Drosophila melanogaster: one gene and its partners. The main gene of each other region encodes a partner of the protein of the gene in region 3 in a complex. Each region holds a gene or a part of one and is shown on either strand. Other genes may lie near its edges. The genes, in order: MED19, MED7, MED9 and MED21.

Region 1 (5,978 bases), on a different chromosome or scaffold from region 3:
TAAATAGGTTCTCACTTTGTAGTTGTTAGTTTTATTAATGCCATTGCTAGTTTTATAAAGGGCGTTATTGATTTCTCAATATCTACAAAAAGTATACTCATATTGTTGGTAATTTATTTCTAAAATTGATAAATTAATCATTCAAAGGCAAAGAGGACAGTTTGAAATTAATTCCAATTAAGTAAATTGGTAACTTCGCAAAGATACATAAACGAAAAGAAATAAAAGCTGTTATGATTAAAGAAGGCATTATTGCATAAAATTAATAAATAATGGGGTTGAACACAACTTTTGATATTGCGTATATAATAACGATTTCCTTGAATTGATAAGATTGTCTAATATTAATAAACTTAGGGCTCATCACTATGAGCATTAGGGAATTTATCAAACGGCTCTTTACTGCTTTACTCTTTACTAAATATAACGATGATTAACAAGATATGAGGGCATCCGAAAGTCGACTTCCCGCCATATCACGCACTTCACTCTTTGACATTGAAATAAACGACGCAGCCACAATACAGAAACTATTGGCTGCTGACGTATTTGGGCAGAATGTGGTATACACATATCTTTATGTAACGCAACTTCCTGGGGGGAATCCTGGGTGGGTGCGAGTTAGTAGTATCTCATCCCCACCACCGACTTACCATCGCAGTCGGTTATTACACTGTCGAAGCCTGCTAGCCACTCGGTCACCTTGGCGGAGGATAATTCCAGGAGATTGGTGCACGACTGCTTGTACATGTTGATAGCTGCCTGTCGCGAAAATCTGGCGAAGTTACAACTCATCTATGGCTTTGCAGCGACGACTATCTTATACACATCACTTTTAATTTATTAATTGACTCTCGATTGCGAGAAACTCCCTGAGAATTAAAGCAGCTGTTGGCGCCTGTTAAGGCTATGTTACTATCTGTCAGATTTCAGCGTAGCTGTTAATGCGCCATGTTAAAGTCAACAGAGTGCTAACAAGTGTTTGGCGCCAAATTTGAATTTAAGGGCTCCTTGGAAGCAGAACTTCTGTGCAACAAATGCTTATATTCGAAAAATGAACTAAGCTCCCCAAACTATTGTAAACACACACTTTGATCATTTTTATGCTTGTTTATTGTTTTATGTGCCTAATCACTAAAATTAATTACTTATAGTACAGGCATTTTTATTTTGTTGAATCTCAGCTTTCTTTTGTGTTTATAAACTTGCTGGAAGAACAAACCATTGCAGAAATTTAATTGAAATACTGACCCTACACACGTTACAAGGTTGGTAAGCAAATTAAAGAGGTTGCAAAGCAGCGTTTTTGTGGCGGCGTGGCGAGGGGTGTGTTTGTGTGGAGGGAAGAGCTGGAATCGAGAGCGAAAACGTTCTTGCGTTTTGTACCATAACTTGCGTTTAAATAAATCTCATTAAGCTAGCGCGAAAACGAACGAAAAATTGTTGGCTAATTACAGAAATAAACTATTTTACATTTACAATAATCATAAATTAATAACTAGGACACGAAACGATATCGAGAAAATTGCATGTAGAGGACCGAGGCCCTCTGCGTTTTTTTTATGTTGCCATTTGGGGTGCGTCTGCTGATGAGAGGTAATGAGCCAAGTCTATTTTGCTAAAGGATCCTGCCTAAAACTGCGACATAAGCAGACTCCCACCGACGCCGCCCCCGCCACCACCTCCTCCTCCGCCGCCGCCACCTGGACCGCCACTAGTGCCCAGCACAGATCCCAGCAGACCGCCACTTGACATCTGCTGTTGCTGCATGGGCATCTGCTGTTGCTGCTGCATCTGCATCGATGAGGAGAAGCTATTCATGTTCCCCACAACGCCAGGTCCCATACTGGCACTAAGGCTGGACAGCCCGGGTCCTCCAGGTCCTCCTCCCAGCGATCCCAGACTAGTGGCTCCCATTACACCCGCTGCTCCGCCCAAGCTCGCTCCTCCGGGCAGCAAGCCCACGCCCGGTTCGGGGCTCTGGTTTTTCTTTTTACGCTTTTTCTCCTTTTTGCGCTTCTTGCGCTCCTTGTCGTCCTCATGGCGTTTCTGCTTCTTGTGCTTTTTCTCGTAAGTCTCCAGGCCGGCCGAGTCTGCAAGATGGTTATCATTGGATTATGTGTGATCGAGTTGCTCGATAATTCAGCAGATTGCTTACCGAGCAGCGTGGATTCCTGTCCCGTGGTCACCCCGTCTTTGTGTTTTTGCTTTTTGTGTTTGTTTTTGTGTTTACGCGCAGGTGTGACATATGTGGTACGATACTGTTCCGGCAGCTGAAAGGAGCACCAGAATCGGATAAATTAGCAATGTGAAAGTGCAGAGGAAAAAAATAATATATTTTATGCAATTTGTTCTAGTAACGATTTATCCATTGTTTGAAATATATGACATGTAAAAAATATTTCACGAAACCTTTTAAGATGAATTATTATTATTATTAGATTGCATATAGGGTGAAAGAAAACTCTCAATAATATTAAATGCCAATATTTCAATAACAAGAAAGGAAGGACAATCCGTCAACAAGGAAGGTTAGTTTTTTTTTTTTTTTTGAATATCATAATATTAAACCATATGGCAGCAATATGAATTAGTGGCCTAAACTGGCGCGTTCTGATTTATGCACTACTTGCAACAAAAATTTAAAACTGAAAGAAAACGGGCAGGCGGACATGGCCTTATCGACTCAGCTGTTCATATAGATCACTGCGTTGCGAACTACTGACTTAATATACACTGTTCAAAAGAGGTTTAAAGGGAAAACCAACATTTACACTCTTGTTAATTTAAGTAATTTTTGTGATTAATGACTAAAATATTTGTGTTTCAAATTTGTTGTTGAACATAAGGAAAATGAATTACAACTCTAAAATACTACGGTGATTATAGAAATAAGTGACAGAAAAGGTGCGACCAAATAACACTTTATAGTAGATCAGTCTGTGCAAGGACACTTAAATCCAAATTTCATATGCAAATTTTAAAAAGCGAAATTAATGCATGCAAATGTATAGAGACGCAAAGCATTGAATAGCGTCTAAATGTATTCTAAGATGTTCAATGTGCCGTATCTAAAGATTCGTCATTTTTCAAACTGAGCAAGCGAATTAAAAGCATATTGGAAAAACCAACCGGTCCGGGATGCAAGCGGAATCCGGCCAGCTGCACGGGAGTCAGCGGAAGAAGCTCCTTTCCACCAATGGGCGGCTTTTCGATCACGCTCCGCAGCGTGCTATTCTCCACGGGATGCGTGATGAGGTCGTTAATGCCGGGGATGTTCTGCAGAAACGAGGCCAGCGACTCCTTGAACTTCTTCTCCTTGAACTTGGTGAGTGTGTGGTGCAGTCCGTACTCGGTCATGAGATCCTTGTCGCCGGTAAGTTCTGCCTTGGCGGGTGGTTCCTTCATGGAGTAAAATGGCCCCGTGTGAATGATCGTTGGCGTCTTGCCCAGCGAAATGGTCGTTTTCAGGGTGCCGGATGAGTCTTGACGGGCCACCACGGGTGATCGGCCGCCGCCGTGGGGCGATGACTTCGGTGAGTCCATCATGTTGCCGTAGTTGCTCATCATCTTGGAAACTCAGCGATTCTCTTCACTCTTGGCAACCCACGCACACAATCGCACCGCACCGCACACGCTCACGCACACAGGGGCACAGCAACAAGGCAAGGCCAGCAGAAGGTGTCGCCTGTCGCGGCTCTCGGGCAACGCTGGCCAAGCTCACACTCTGCAAAATGCGCCGCGTCTGCCCGGCACTTCGGCTGACTCTTTTCTGGTCGAAAACTGAACTAATTATTTGCTCTTGTGGCGTTTTCTAACAGATTTCGGGGGCAAGTCTCGCCATCTTGTTGTGTCCGCGAACCAGTGTGACCGCATTGCGACAGCTAGCGAAATACTGAGGCTTCAACGAAAACGCGAGATGAACGCGACGTGAAAATACCAAAAGTGTTGTGGGAAATATCCCAGATGGGGAATACCACACAGGGTTGTACTGTAGGGCAAACTATCGAATATTCATCGTATAATACATTTTTAATTACCTATAGATATAATAAAGTTAATATTACTTTGGAACTCTTATTATATATGTATCGTATGTACGTTGAGTTATATATTTTTAAAACAGTTATTTTACAGTTTATTTATTACAGTTTATTTTATACGTACAAAAACATTAATTAATGGGTGCCAAAACTATAAAAGCCGGCTTACACGTATAGTTGGCTTGTTTTTAGGTAGCTTTTGCTACAACAAATGACCCATAAAGTGAATATTGTATAAACTAGCAATTGAGTGACGGACATATCGTATTTTGAACGATCATCAAGCTAATATTTTTATACACATCTTTTTCATACGAAAATGTTTTAGAATTTCAAATTCCAACAGAGTGGAAAATCACCAAAACAATCGATAGCATCGCGGCCATCATATGACCACTATCGAATGCACATCGCCAGCCCTGCGACCGCTCCGAGCCCCACAACACGAAAAACAGTCGGAAAAACACACATCAAACTAGTGTTGTGTTTGTAGTTAAATAACGATTATCCTCATAACTCGCCCGCACCAGCCATGCAATTCACGCTCCGTCATGTTGTTTCGGCAGTAGCCAAGGTAAGGATCGGGCGACATAACCGATTCCCCAAACGCCATCGCCCCTCAAGTTATGCAATCTAACCTCACCGAGGGGGTCGAGAAATGGGCAGGAAAAGGCTGGAAAATGCACTTGGATCACCTGCAGTGCTCATATGATCCCGGTGGGTGATTCACTGGCGTTTGGGGATTTGTTTGGCCCCGTTTTCAAGGTCGCTAATTAGGCCAATTATCAGCTGATAGTCGGCCGAAGATTAGTGCGAAATGCGTGCGACTGGCGTGATAAATGATAAGGTGCCACAACATGTAGTAATCTGCCGTCTTTACAGACTCCTCTGCGCACCAATGCCGCCATTCTGGGTGCCCTCAACGCCCGCTGCTACTCCAGCACCCACGAGGCGGACATCGTGGTGATTGGCTCCGGACCCGGTGGCTATGTCGCCGCCATCAAGGCCGCCCAGATGGGCATGAAGACGGTCAGCGTGGAGAAGGAGGCAACTCTGGGCGGCACCTGCCTGAATGTTGGCTGCATTCCCTCAAAGGCGCTGCTGAACAACTCCCACTACTACCACATGGCCCACTCCGGTGATCTGGAGAAACGTGGTATTAGCTGCGGCAGCGTTAGCCTGGATCTGGAGAAGCTTATGGGTCAAAAGTCCAACGCCGTGAAGGCTTTGACCGGTGGCATTGCCATGCTTTTCAAGAAGAACAAGGTCACACAGCTGACGGGCTTCGGCACCATCGTCAATCCCAACGAGGTGGAGGTTAAGAAATCCGACGGCTCCACGGAGACTGTCAAGACCAAGAACATCCTCATCGCCACCGGCTCGGAGGTTACCCCCTTCCCTGGCATTGAAGTAAGTGCAAAACCTCTACAGCGCGCTTGATTACTAATGCATGCCATTCAAAAACCTTCACAGATCGACGAGGAAGTTATTGTGAGCAGCACTGGCGCCCTGAAGCTGGCCAAGGTGCCCAAGCATCTGGTTGTCATCGGCGCCGGTGTCATTGGCCTGGAGCTGGGTTCGGTATGGTCGCGTCTGGGCGCTGAGGTCACTGCCATTGAGTTCATGGATACGATCGGCGGCGTGGGCATCGATAACGAAGTCTCCAAGACGTTCCAAAAGGTGCTCACCAAGCAGGGTCTTAAGTTCAAGCTGGGCACCAAGGTGACGGCTGCCTCTCGCAGCGGCGACAACGTCACCGTGTCCGTGGAGAACGCCAAGTCTGGCGAGAAAGAGGAGATCCAGTGCGACGCCCTGCTGGTCAGTGTTGGACGTCGTCCCTACACCGAAGGTTTGGGTCTGGAGGCCGTGGGCATTGTTAAGGATGACCGCGGCAGGATCCCCGTCAACGCCACTTTCCAAACTGTGGTGCCCAAT
Region 2 (3,977 bases), on a different chromosome or scaffold from region 3:
AAGGAAAACAATTATTATATCGCTAAATGCAGATTAAAAGAGGATAAGATTTCTTTTTTTTAAAGGACTGATTATTATGTAACTTAAATATTATAATGAAATCATCTTATGTTTAATCAAAATACTGGTGCTATCTTTAAAATTAATTAGACTTTCAACATTTAGGTCAAATAATCTCCCCAAATTCTTTAATGCCGGCTGATAAGAAAGAATTTAAGTGAATTATAATGTAAAAATATTTATTTAGGATGTGATCTATCTCTGAATAACTTGTTATTTTTATGAATGAACTGTCTACGTTTTTAGCTTCACTTGTCTGGTTAATTTCTCATTTCTTTATATACTCTGTTTGTTATTTGTTTTTGGAAGCACGAGAACGTGCCCTATCGTCCATTAACGGCAAGCCGGCTTCTGTGATATTAATGCAAACAAAGCCGAAGGGGGCGTAAAGTGAAGCTCGATAAGCGGAATTCTGGACCGAAAAGAGCCAGCAATGGCGACAAGTGGGGAGCACGTGGCCTTGTCTTTCTCCATCTTCTTAACTCTTCAGTTCTGAGTTAAACTTACGCAGCACTTCCGCTAGGGGTCTCCTTCTGCAACTCCGATGTGAGCAGGGCTTCGATCTGGTGCTCCACCACCTGGCACAGGTACTCCACTCGGTCTCCATAGATCTTGCCGCAGTACTGGAGGGCACTTCCTGCGGCCACGATGGCCGATCTTCGAGAGACATCATTTCGTCCTAAGCAGTGGCGCAGTAGCTCTTCAATATACTGAAAATATAAGCAATGTATTTGAGGATCTGCAGGCTTTTGTGTTCACTGTAAATAAAATAATAGATTTTCTTGAAAACCCATTTATATAATTTTAGTTAAAATACCAGTTATCGAGGCATGACTGTAAAACCCACGCACGTTGCGTCACACTTTTATTTTGATCTTTCTGCTCTTCGGCGGTTTTGCTTATCTTGATAATAGTGGTCTTCAACACTCACATATCCCAGTGATATCCGTAGGTCCGTGGAGTAGTCCGTGTTTTTGGAGAGCTCTTCGAGGAGGACGACTAGCGAGGCCAGGTCCTGTTGCTCATCGTAGGCGCGGATGCACTTGGCCACTTGGGTTCCCGGCCGATTCTTGGCTATTTCCAATATCTGCTCCCGCGCTTCGCTCAAGTAGGCTGTGAATTAAATAGAAACCGATTGGATTTACTTAAGCAAAAACCACACACCCAATCGCAGATCCGCTTTATTGTTTATTTCGGCCCTCCCCATACACACACACACACACTCGCATAGAAGCACCAACACACGCGGTATACTGGAAATAGCGCTGACTTAATCAATGGGAAACGAAGATCACGCCTGGGGCTGTCCTGCGTTGGTTACCTAAGTTCTGGATGCTTACCCGCTTCCGCTTCTTCAGGCAAAATCCGCTCCATGGCTCACTAGATGACACTAGGAAAAGTTTGTTTTATGTCCGGTTTTGCACATTTTACTGGCATCGTGCACAAGCACTGCAAGCACGCACACACGCTGAGTGGGGAAATCAAAATGGTGGAGGCAGCACGGCTTGTCTCTTAGTTGGGTCCAGTTATGTTATGGTTTTACGTTTTGTTTTCATTTCTTTGGCAGGAACAGGAATATTGGCGCGAATCGGTGCTGGAACAATTAGCTATTCACATCAAGATATATATGTGTTTCTTATTTTGTTGTGCTCTACCGACGAATGAGGGAAGAGACGGAGAAAAATTGCTATGGCAATGCTGTAGGGGGTGCATGCAAGCATGGTCACCTTTAAGTTATCGATAGCTAGGCACGGTGAATCATTTATTATTTCGAGCTCGATTAATATCTAATTTAATTTTTGTAATTGTAAATTATTTGTCAGTGTCTCAAAACATATTATAATAAATTCTGCTTATTATTGCATTGTCTAGCTTCAAACCTCTAGTGTGCTCATTTTTAAGAAAACAATTTGAGTGATAGTGTCATCACTATCGTGAGTGATTCGCCTGTCTCAGGTGCCATCACTTCTTCAAAACAAAAATCATTTATTATTTTTGTATTTCCGCACTTGTTAATCTCATAATGTCCAACCAGGAGACCCAGGTTTCCAGCCTGCCGATGCCGCCGGAGCGGTACATCGCCAATTACACGGACGAGAATATCCGCCGCAACCGAGCGCCACGCCCACCGCCGCCGCCGGCGCAGCACGAAGTCTATAGCATGTTTGGCATCCAGTACAACAACGACGAGATGATCCGCAGCTTGGAGTCCCAGAATATTAAGCGACTGATCCCCATCCATTTCGATCGGCGCAAGGAGCTCAAGAAGCTTAACCACTCCCTCTTGGTCAACTTCCTAGATCTCATTGACTTTCTTATCCTGAATCCTGACAGCCCGCGGCGCACGGAAAAGGTGAGTCAATTGACCCATTAAAATGTAGCATCTATTGTATTACACTCATTTGATATCTTAGATTGACGATATCAGTCTGCTGTTCGTCAACATGCATCACCTCCTCAATGAATTTCGCCCACATCAGGCGAGGGAAACGCTGCGCGTCATGATGGAAATGCAGAAGCGGCAGCGCGTTGAGACCGCCGCCCGTTTCCAAAAGCACTTGGAACGTGTGCGCGAGATCGTTAATACCGCCTTCTCAGCTCTGCCGGTTCTAGATGATGACGACGATAGCGGCGGAGCAAAGATTAAGACGGAGGTGGATCCGTTGGAGGCGAATGCGGCGGCCAAGAATGATCCCAGTTACCAGCACGATCGCATGTTGTGCAAGCTTGTGGACGCTATCGAGTAAGCTGAGTTGGCAAAAGACTGGACATCGACGCTGGAAATAGTGTCAATCATTGTGAATGGCTTGGAAAAAAGAGCTCCTCATATTTATAACTCCTTTTAGTATAAGAAATAAAACCCCAATTGTGGGATGAGAATCTTGCACGTCTAATGAGTAATTCATTCAATGGGAATTAATGTGTTAAGTCATCTTTGAGATAAGCTTTACACAGATAAGATCCGAGATAAAGGCTCATGATTAAGCATCCCACAAATTTCACCATTAAAATGACGTAGTCAGCGTGGAGTAATAATATAGTCAAATGTCATAAATTAATAATCTATCTAGAACAATTTATTCAGGATAGGAATAACAATATAAATGTATATATTTAATTGTAAAAATTGTAAAGACATGTGACATGACATGAGACATGAACACCTCACACGTTTTCCTACTTTTAATGGGTGCTACCGCATGGCATCATCGTGGCTAGCCGAAATATGCTCGTACAGTGCGTTTCATAATGTACATATACATATGTGGTTTTAATGAATTTGTATGGAGTTTCATCAAAATTACTAATTTTGTTTGATAAACATGATTAAAAAGTCAATAGAGATATTCATTCACAACTGGAGTATAATGTTTTCCCTAAAATTTTTTTAACTCACTGTGCCCTTTACAAAATCCAACGTGTTTTTCTAAATAAACATGGTTTAATACGTTTATTAGCTTTCTTAGATTGTAAAGCCCGCGATAAGAGAGATGTAGTTAAGTGAATCTTCACTTTTATTGAAGTAATCTCCGATAAAAGGAGGTGCCATGCGCTCTAGATGATCATTTCTCGTGCAGCATTGCAAGTGTGCAAGTCGGTTGAATAGGAATATTTTGAAAACCCTTAACTCATTGACTTTGAACTTAATTTTTTAAAGAACTTGTGGTTGCGCTTTTTAATTAAGAACTGCATCGTATTAATTGAACAATCAATTTCAAGAGCAAGCCGATTGTGAAAACCCATGGTGACAAACAGTAATAGCTAAGATGTCGGAAAAGAATATTAAAACAGCGATTCCAGAGAAAAGCAAAGGTAAAGGGTTAAAAAATAATTGGCAACTAACTACGATGGAGTAGAAAAAACCTTATAAACCCAATAAAACAGAGCTTCCTTAAAAAGTGCATTGTTTTTAAGAA
Region 3 (4,497 bases):
ACACCAAGCGCGGTGAGGCAAACATTCGGCCACCGACATTGGCAATGGTGTCCGGGCAAAGCATGCAGCCAGTTTTCGAGTAATGCTATGCCACAGATCAATATACAAATCAAATTGAATGAAATACTTATGCAAAAATAGTTTATATTTACCTTTAAAATAAAGTCAGCTACCGCCGTAACCAGCAGCACATCCTTGGAGCGAATGGCCCATTCCAGGGCGTTTCCATAACGCTCGTTATCGTAGGATCGCTTTGAAAGCACCTTGCAGATCTCCCGTTCTACGCTTATGAGCCCGCGCTGCCTGGCCAGGTTAATAAGCTTGGTGGCTTGCCGCTCGCTGCGCAAAGTGATTCGGGGCAAAAGCAGCTCGATAGCCGCCTGACCCTCCTGCTTGCAACAGTCCAGATAGTCGATGCCCAGTTGCCACATATTGTGGGACGTCATCAGATAGCTGCCGTACTCATAGATCATTGAGTGACGCAGGGCCGGAAGATCGCTGTGGGTGCATAAAATATATAGCATATTGATTGAACATAACTTCTGACAAAAAAACTCACATGTTGTTCTGATCGAAATAGCTCTTCAGCTGACCACAATGATGGATAAGATCAATCAAATGCGTTGAGAACCAGTGTGTGTCGTTAAGTTTTTGAGCATCGTATATAAATAGTCTAAGATCGTGATCCATAAGCTGAGAAACCATGCGGTTCATGCTGCACTGCTCTCTTTCCGGCCGGAGAAGACACCATCGGTTTAGCCATTTGGCTGCCGCTATTTTCAGCTCAAAGGGTTTGCAGGTGGGCTTGGTAAAGAGCAGGTATCCTGGCAGGTATTCATAGAAATCCTGGGACTCTTTGATGCCAGCATCCCACTGCTCGCTGTCGCCGGCGACCAGACGAATCAACTGCTCCAGCTCCGGCTCCGTGGCAAATAAGCCGGACTGAATCTTGCGTTCCGTATCCACGTGCCAGAACTCCCACTGCGAGTGAAACTTCTGCAGGGCATAGCCCTCTTGATACACTGGCATGGACTTCAGGATCTGTTCGGCCGCCTTGAAGCTCGTTTGTCCAGCTTTGCGATTCTGCGAGAGAACTGCTCTCGTAACATCTATTTCGCCCAGCATAATGAGTGATTTGACAATGCTCCAATAGTCATCAGATTCGCTGGCCTCCTCTCCCATGAGCAGTAGATCCGTGGCTCTGTCCTCTGCGTGCGGCGAGTGGAAACGCGCCCAGTCGAGCAGCTGCGGCACCACCAGCTGATTGCTCTGAATGTACAGAATCTCGAAGAGATGCCACAGGCATTCTGCCGCATAGAACACAACGATGGCATCACATAAGCGTTGCAGGCGCGCCTCATCTGTCTGAACCTCCGGCGATTTTTTTGCCTGCTCCAGCTTCTCCAGGCATGAGCGCACAATGCTCCTGTATGCCCGGGATATATTCACATACTCGGCACGTGTGGCCCGCGAACCCAACTGTTGCAGCGTGGCGAACGTGGCATTCGCCTCGGCGAGTACGCTGCGGAGAACGGGTTCGTCGAACAGCGTCGACTCCTGCGCCATGTAGATGAGCACCGGAACCTGTCCAGCATTCTCTGTGGGCTCATCCCGCGAACTGTGCGTCACATGCCGGTAGGCGCTGAGTGCGATTCGTGAGCCCGGCACAAAGACGCCAGTGAGTGTATTGCCACAGCGTGTGGCTAGGTCATCGCCAAGCTCCTAGATAGATTAAACGAGGTTTAATCTATTGAGTTTTTTATTTGTGCAGCTACTTACGAAGGCGAAAACACCGCTGTCGCTCATGTTGGCTTTATGTTTTTCTTCTTTATAAATTCTAAACGATTCGTTGCTTGTTATCGATAAGCAGAGGCGGCATTTGCCTGGCTCTATCGGTCTATCGTACTTCGATAGCAGGTTGTGCATCTACTACTTTTCCCTTTAGTATATTAATCGAATTAAGAGAATGTGAGGGCATTACTTTGGTATTATTACGTGTTGTCGGTAAGGTCCTATTGATTCTGACGCTGGAAATTCGATTCGTGTTTTTTATGATGGATTTGTCGCCAAACAATCAGATCGAGGACAGAAAACCCATCCTAACCGCCGACGGCCTGGTTCAGACTTCGAACTCCCCCTTCGAGCCGACCATATCGCAGGAGACGCAAACATCCAACGGAATCGGCGGCCAGTGCCATCTGACGGTTGACCAGTTGGACATTGAGATTCTGCCGATAATCTACGACATTGTGCGCTGGTGAGTGGTCATCGCGGATGCGGATTCCGGGTGTCATTGCCCCTGCACGGACAATGCCGAAAATCGGCGGATTTTAGCAACAAGTGCGCAATTAATGCCGCACCTTATATAACCTGGCGTCTTTGTGTCTTTCAGCGTGGAAAAGGATCCTCTGGAGAACGCCGTTAAGCTGCGCGAGTCCCAGGATTGCAACCACAAGGTGAGTCCTTGGTTCGTCATAAGTTGCCACCGCTATATACTTGATTTGTAGATCTTTGAACTTCAAAAACGCTTCGAATCGGCACGCGAGCAAATCCGCCAGCTCCCCGGGATCGATTTCAATAAGGAGGAGCAGCAACAGAGACTGGAACTACTGCGAAATCAGCTGAAGCTTAAGCAGCAGCTAATTCGCAAATACAAGGACACAGAGTTCTAGGCGGCAGCAAAATAAAAAAAAGGGCAAGATGGTGCTGCGACTGCTAATGCGCTACCTGGCCAACAACGAGCAGCTCATCCAGCGCATGGCGGAGAGCTATCCCATGAGACGCGCTGCCCAGTTGGTCGTTTCCCTGATGTACCGCACAAAAGACTTGGCCCGGGAGCAGGGACTGCACGAGATGACGCCAGAGCGTTTCAAGTGAGTGAAAGAATCGCCAGAATCATCTGGCTGAATCCGCCAATCTGACATGCATTTTCCAAATTGTAGATCCTTCGTTAACATGTTTAAGAACAACGTGCGCCAAGAGCTGGAGGGAGTGAAGAAGGAGCTTAATAGCAAGAAAAAGAACTAGGGTTCAGTAATTAACTTGTTTAACTACAATTGTATATACGCGGCAAGATAAATTTTAGTAAACACAGATGAATAAACATTGAAGCCAGAACATTATCTTCGGTGAATGAACCTTATTTTTGTAGAATAGGAAATTGCTTTTATTAAGGTAATTAGGAAACAAAGAAATCCTTATTCATTGCCATTTTATCTTAACACTTAAAAACAAAAGAGAACTTCAGATTGTCATTCTGAAACTATCGTTTTACAAAAAAATCAAATAATAACCTAATGTCTGCATTTACAACGCTTTCAACGTAATTTGCGTCAGCAAATTTGTTTTCATTTTCAGTTTGCATAGACATTAAACTCATCTTAAACTATAAGATTTTAATTTAAGATTCCAATTTATAAAGTCGTGTCTATTTAAGTTTATCGAGAGATAATTTAATATCATGTACACAAGTAGCATCTGGTTCAACCTGCGTTTATTCAGTGAAAAGACAAATGAAATCCATGCTGCAGTGACGTCGGTTGTCTTAAGTCTAGTGAACAAACAAAATATAGAATTTGGTTTGGCATATAGCACAATGTACAGTGGACAAGAACGGGACACGAAATAGTTTATTGGGGCACATGCCACTTTAGATTAGAAGGTCGCAAAATAAATTCATCCAATTATCTTTAAGAATTTGAAAAAAAAATACTTTAGTTTACAAAACTAGAAAGAGCCAAAACATGCAGGCGGCGCACTTCACTCGGTGAGAGCGGCCGGTGTGACTTCAACCGAGGACGACGACGAAGGATTCTCGCCGAGGGGCAGACCCAAAGAGGCCGAGCCATTGGATGGATCCACCCCAACGCCGCCGGACGGAGTCGGGCGATTATTTCTTTTCCGCTTGCCACCTCGCCGGCTGCCACCCTCGCGCTTGTCGCCGTTCTGCTTCTCGTCGGCGTTGTCCTTGCTGCATCCGGCGCCCGAGGAGCTGCCCTGGCCCTGCTGGCGGTGCTGGTTGTTACTGCCGTTGCTGCCGCCGTTATGTGAGCGCGACTGCATCTTGGCGGGCTTGGGGCGATATGGGCTAGCGGCAGCATTCGGTAGCGGACGCAGTATATTGCCAACAGCCTTGGTGCGTCCCTCGCGAAAGACCAGGCGCTGACCGGCGCGTATGTACTCCGGCTGCTTGATGAACCGGAATTTCACATGTGCCTTGTCGCCTGTTCGCAGGCAGTCGCGCGACATGTGTATGATTGAGGCCGTCTGGCGGATGCTGCCGCAGTGGACCATGGCCTGGTAGCGCGCCGATATCGTCGTCGGATGGTGGAGCACTAGTATCTCTCCCTCGAACTCCCAGCAGGCTTGCGGTTTGAGATCCTGCGACACCATTACCATGCCCTTGCGCAGATAGGCGCGCTTTATTTTCTTTAACGCAAAGCTTGCTGTTTGGCCACAGCGCACGCGTGCCACGTTCATGCGCTTGCGATGGATGCT
Region 4 (4,330 bases), on a different chromosome or scaffold from region 3:
TCAATTTCTGCTCTCCGCATTCGATGTTTCAACCACCCTTAACTGTCCCAAGCACTACTCTTGGAATTTTCTTCGCTAGCGCCTTAAAATCCGGACTAGAAGTCCCCGCCTCACCGACTAGAACTGCTCATTCCGAACATAAATTGACAAATATGCAACAAACTGAACAAAGTGGCATTGAAGCTATGATGCTATCCCTACAGAAAAGCATGAAATATTTCATAACGATCAAAACGTGCAAAATTTCCTGATACAACTTCTTGTATCTTCAAAATCCCCATGCTGGCTTCCCTACGGATATCTATTCACTTCATACACAAGAACTCACACAGTTCATTACCGAAAAAAACACTGGAGTAATGCTACTATCAGAAACGCACCTCACAAATCATTCAGATGGTAAAGCTCTTGGAGGCACTGGCATACTAATCAGAAATCGCATAAAAACCACCTCAATCTACGTCCATAGTCTAACTACTCAACAATGGTTCAATGACTCTAGCCGCAGTCTACTGCCCACCACGCTATCCAATACATACTGACCAGCAGACCCAAGAAAAATCCCAGACCCAGATCACACATAGAACTAACGCCGGCATTATCTGCTAAGGAAAATATAGACAAGTCAACGGACACTGTTGAAAATATTCTAGTTTCGGGTGCAAAGTGACGTATGCCCACCAGCACTAAGAACCTTTTGTAGAGAAAAGACAGTGATGAGAAAAGAGCCAGAGCAGTTGCTGACCACTTACAAATTTTATTTCTACCAAATCCTGCTATAAAGTCATTATTCTCCCTCCTTTAGCAGAAGCAAACTTAGATTATGTGAATTAGCAAAGGTTATCAAAAAGCAACTGAAGCGATTTTGGCTTCGACCTAATAACTCAAAAAATCCTTATTGAACTCCCAGTGTGATGTTCTGCACATGTGCTTGTTGTTCAACGCAATCGCCAAGCATGGATACTTCCCTCAAAAATGGAAAAAATCTACCATAGTAATGATTCCAATGCCAGGAAAAGATAAAACGCAGCCATCATCATATAGACCGATACAGTAACTAACTTATCTCTAAAATTTATTTGAAAAAATGCTACTCCTGGGAATAAGCCCTCGTCATGGAAAAAACATGGAACCATCGAACAGGCCAATCGAATCACGTCAGAAATTCGTACTGCTTTTGAGCATCGAGAATATTACACAGCCATTTTACTAGACGTCGCGCAGGCATTTGACAGTGTTTCTGGATGGACTTTTGCTTAAACTAGCCAAGCTATTGTTCCAAAACATACATAAGCTACTGAAGTCGCAATAAGATGCAAGGAACCTTCACTGGCTCATGCTCGCTCTCCACTTAGCGTGGAGTTCAAAGCTCTCCTATACAACTCCGTCTTAAAACCAATCTGGACTTATGGCTCCGACCTGTGGGGCATCCATTCAGCGAGAACAGCCAACAATTCTGAGAATTCTGACTAGAGCGTGATACCTTCGGAACGAAGACATACACAGAGAGAAAAAAATCAAATTATTTATCGAAATAATAACTGAGAAGAAAATTAAAATACCTAGTAAAACTGACCACCCATTCAAATCCCCTCACAAGAAAACTAATCGGAGGCACAAAGTGTTCGTATCATAAAATCTTTGTTGCTTTTAAAAACCTTTAAAAAACAAGAGAGGTAGCTTTAAAATTTTTCATATGACATCTTTAAGATATGGTGAACCGATTTAGATATGTTAAAAATTAAAAGAATAATTATCGTGAAAAAGGGTACGGCTGTTCTTACTGATATTTATACCCACTTAATTGGACTGAAATGCTTTTTTCACTTCGTTGCAAGCTTATAACTGAAATCGATATACCCTCCTCAAGGATATACCAAGATTGTGTGAGAGAGGTTGCAGACTACTTGGAGACCAACTGCTTCCTTGTTATAACCGAAATTGTGATGATTTTGAACAAGACAAGAGGGATCGATGTGCAACGTGTGGTCATATATTATGGAGATTCCACTGTTTCCGACAATCTTATGGTAGTTTATATCGTTGGAATGAAGACATTATTATGGCACAGTGTGAACAAGAATAATTCGTCTCATTGAAAGAAATCACGTTTTAGTGTGGAACTCATATTAATAGCATTTCTTTTTTTAAGAGAATAGTCGCTGCTGTGAGGTATCTGTAAATAAGACATAAAATCAATCGATAAATAAATGCTTATATATTATAAAAATCACCAACGGTCATTGTATGTTGATATTATGTTGATTATGTTATGTTGATATTAAAAATGTTAATCAAAATTTGAACTGGCTAATCAAACTTAATTCCATATAATTTTTTGTTTTTCAGAATTATTAACTCTGTAGTAAAATGGCGGATCGGCTTACACAATTGCAAGACACCGTTAATCAGGTAAGTGACTTCGTATTAAGAAATAACCAGTTTTTTATGTAAAATAATCATTGCAGCAAGCGGAGCACTTCTGCAATGCTATTGGTGTAATTCAACAAACGTCCCTTCCAAGTAAATTTGTTAATTTTGAACGCATTGGACCCCAAACGCCAATCCCATGTCCGCCGCAAGAAGACTATGCCCAATTATTTGCACAGTTAATTGCACGATGTGCTAAAGACATCGACACCTTAATCGAGTCTCTTCCAAATGAAGACAGCTCCATTGAACTCCAAAATTCTAGCCTTAAGAGGCTCGAGATCGAAAACCAGGGAACTGCAAGAGACCTAGAGGAAGTAGTGCAAAAAGGCGAACTTTTGCTAGAAAAAATGCAGTATTCTTTGGAATGCATTGCTCAGGCTCAATTAGATATGCAAATAACACTCAAACATGATTTACAATAGCTGCTTAACACATTTTTGTATAAAGGCAAATTATTTTTAAATTTAAGATAATGTATTTATTGCATTTTCGTTCGTGTTTACAGATCAAATGGGTTTTAGTATATACATATTGTTTTTATAAGTAAAGTATTTTAGCTTAATTTAGACCTAAACCATTTTGAACAGCACCTCTGACCTCGTTGATATAATTTTTATAATAATTAATTATAGTTTTAAGTTATAAAAAAAACTATATATACTTACACGTACCCCACTTTGGATTTTATGAACAAATTAAATTTATGTGCTCTAAAATATTTAATTCATTGTTGTAAATAAGTATTAGTTAAGTGTACCCCGACATCCTTGGGCGCCGCATAGACAAGGTATTTTTTCGTCTTCTAGTGGAAATTTATAGTCGTAAGTTATTTCCTCGTTGATACCAATGGGTTGCTTTGAATATATTACTATCTTCTTTTCAGATTCAATAGTTATAACCTTAGCGTAGCAATTCGGCTGAAAAACAAAATTTTATGTTGGTAACATAATGTCAGAACATCCAGCTTACTTACATTGCAACTGTGATTTATAAACCGAGCTAAGTTTCCACATTTAGTTGCGTCAATTATAGTTTCCATGTCAATTCGAAACAAATAGGAACTCCCAATCCCAATTGCTTCATACTTTGTTTCTCTTAGATCAGCAACTACAGGTCGAATCATCTGACCAACATATTCAATAACCATTTCGTCTGCAGCTATGGGCTCCATTGCAAATAATCCCCAATCATGTATCGCAGATTTTGCAAACTTAAGCTGTTTCTTCCGAAACTTTAGCTGATTAAATTTTAAAAGCTCAGACTCACCCATAGAACCAAAGGCTGTTAAAAGTCTTCTCTGGTTTGAGCGAGCTTCGCGGGAAATTCCTTGCATTTTAGAAATTAATTTATTGTGATGATGATTTGTAAGTGCTGTAGGTTCATCGCTCCGATCTTCATTAAAGGAATCTTCTGTATTGGCTTTAGCATAATGGTACTTATGCTTAGCCTTTTCTCGAACATCTAATTTGTAAAATCCTTCAGTTCGCGCACATCCAGTCTTATGTCGGATCAGTTCGTCGTCTTTTCTTCGCTTTTTTGATGGCGGTGGCCAAAAAGCTCGGTCAGTTGTGCAGTGATCCACCCAGTGAGTATTATTTAAAAACATACTAGAAAACAAATGTCAATAAAATAAAAACAAGAGAGAATGATTTAGTCGAGTTAACCGACTATCAAATACCCGTTACTCAGCTAGTGTGAATGCGAACGCGATATTTCATAATTTTTCTGGATATTGATATTGGGGAATAAAATGAGAAAAAATCTAGAAATTGTTCAAAAGTGTGGACCGGTTTGACGGCTTTAGGGCGTTAGAGTGGGCGTGGCAACATGGGTCAACAAACTTGCGCCGCGTCTTAGTCTCTAGATTCTGTTCGCTGAATCTCAACCTTTCAGCTTT

The links.
Region 1: MED9 (region 3) and MED19 share a complex: the UniProt entries of both Drosophila melanogaster proteins name them as parts of the mediator complex.
Region 2: MED9 (region 3) and MED7 share a complex: the UniProt entries of both Drosophila melanogaster proteins name them as parts of the mediator complex.
Region 4: MED9 (region 3) and MED21 share a complex: the UniProt entries of both Drosophila melanogaster proteins name them as parts of the mediator complex.

The regions. Positions count from the first base shown.
Region 1 is NT_037436.4:17,842,622-17,848,599, forward strand, and holds MED19 (mediator complex subunit 19), read right to left. Parts: upstream 3,881-5,978; 5' UTR 3,571-3,880; coding exon 3,133-3,570; intron 2,274-3,132; coding exon 2,159-2,273; intron 2,094-2,158; coding exon 1,633-2,093; 3' UTR 1,104-1,632; downstream 1-1,103. Other genes in the region: CG5567 (uncharacterized protein), read right to left, coding at 654-795; CG7430 (uncharacterized protein), read left to right, coding at 4,576-4,617, 4,926-5,453, 5,517-5,978. UniProt on the Drosophila melanogaster protein: Component of the Mediator complex, a coactivator involved in the regulated transcription of nearly all RNA polymerase II-dependent genes.
Region 2 is NT_033777.3:10,759,040-10,763,016, reverse strand, and holds MED7 (mediator complex subunit 7), read left to right. Parts: upstream 1-1,984; 5' UTR 1,985-2,083; coding exon 2,084-2,413; intron 2,414-2,474; coding exon 2,475-2,807; 3' UTR 2,808-2,946; downstream 2,947-3,977. Other genes in the region: Cap-H2 (chromosome associated protein H2), read right to left, coding at 568-770, 992-1,173, 1,401-1,434; CG31272 (uncharacterized protein), read left to right, coding at 3,828-3,873. UniProt on the Drosophila melanogaster protein: Component of the Mediator complex, a coactivator involved in the regulated transcription of nearly all RNA polymerase II-dependent genes.
Region 3 is NT_033778.4:18,165,266-18,169,762, forward strand, and holds MED9 (mediator complex subunit 9), read left to right. Parts: upstream 1-1,989; 5' UTR 1,990-2,051; coding exon 2,052-2,257; intron 2,258-2,392; coding exon 2,393-2,456; intron 2,457-2,507; coding exon 2,508-2,672; 3' UTR 2,673-2,700; coding exon of another isoform or gene 2,701-2,873; intron 2,874-2,942; coding exon of another isoform or gene 2,943-3,027; 3' UTR 3,028-3,115; downstream 3,116-4,497. Other genes in the region: Nup75 (nucleoporin 75kD), read right to left, coding at 1-85, 153-498, 560-1,722, 1,780-1,806; CG42518 (uncharacterized protein), read left to right, coding at 2,701-2,873, 2,943-3,027; Dgp-1, read right to left, coding at 3,760-4,497. UniProt on the Drosophila melanogaster protein: Component of the Mediator complex, a coactivator involved in the regulated transcription of nearly all RNA polymerase II-dependent genes.
Region 4 is NT_037436.4:25,113,744-25,118,073, reverse strand, and holds MED21 (mediator complex subunit 21), read left to right. Parts: upstream 1-2,127; 5' UTR 2,128-2,245; exon of another isoform or gene 2,246-2,349; 5' UTR 2,350-2,370; coding exon 2,371-2,412; intron 2,413-2,468; coding exon 2,469-2,855; 3' UTR 2,856-3,150; downstream 3,151-4,330. Other genes in the region: Set1 (SET domain containing 1), read right to left, coding at 3,177-3,350, 3,407-4,040. UniProt on the Drosophila melanogaster protein: Component of the Mediator complex, a coactivator involved in the regulated transcription of nearly all RNA polymerase II-dependent genes.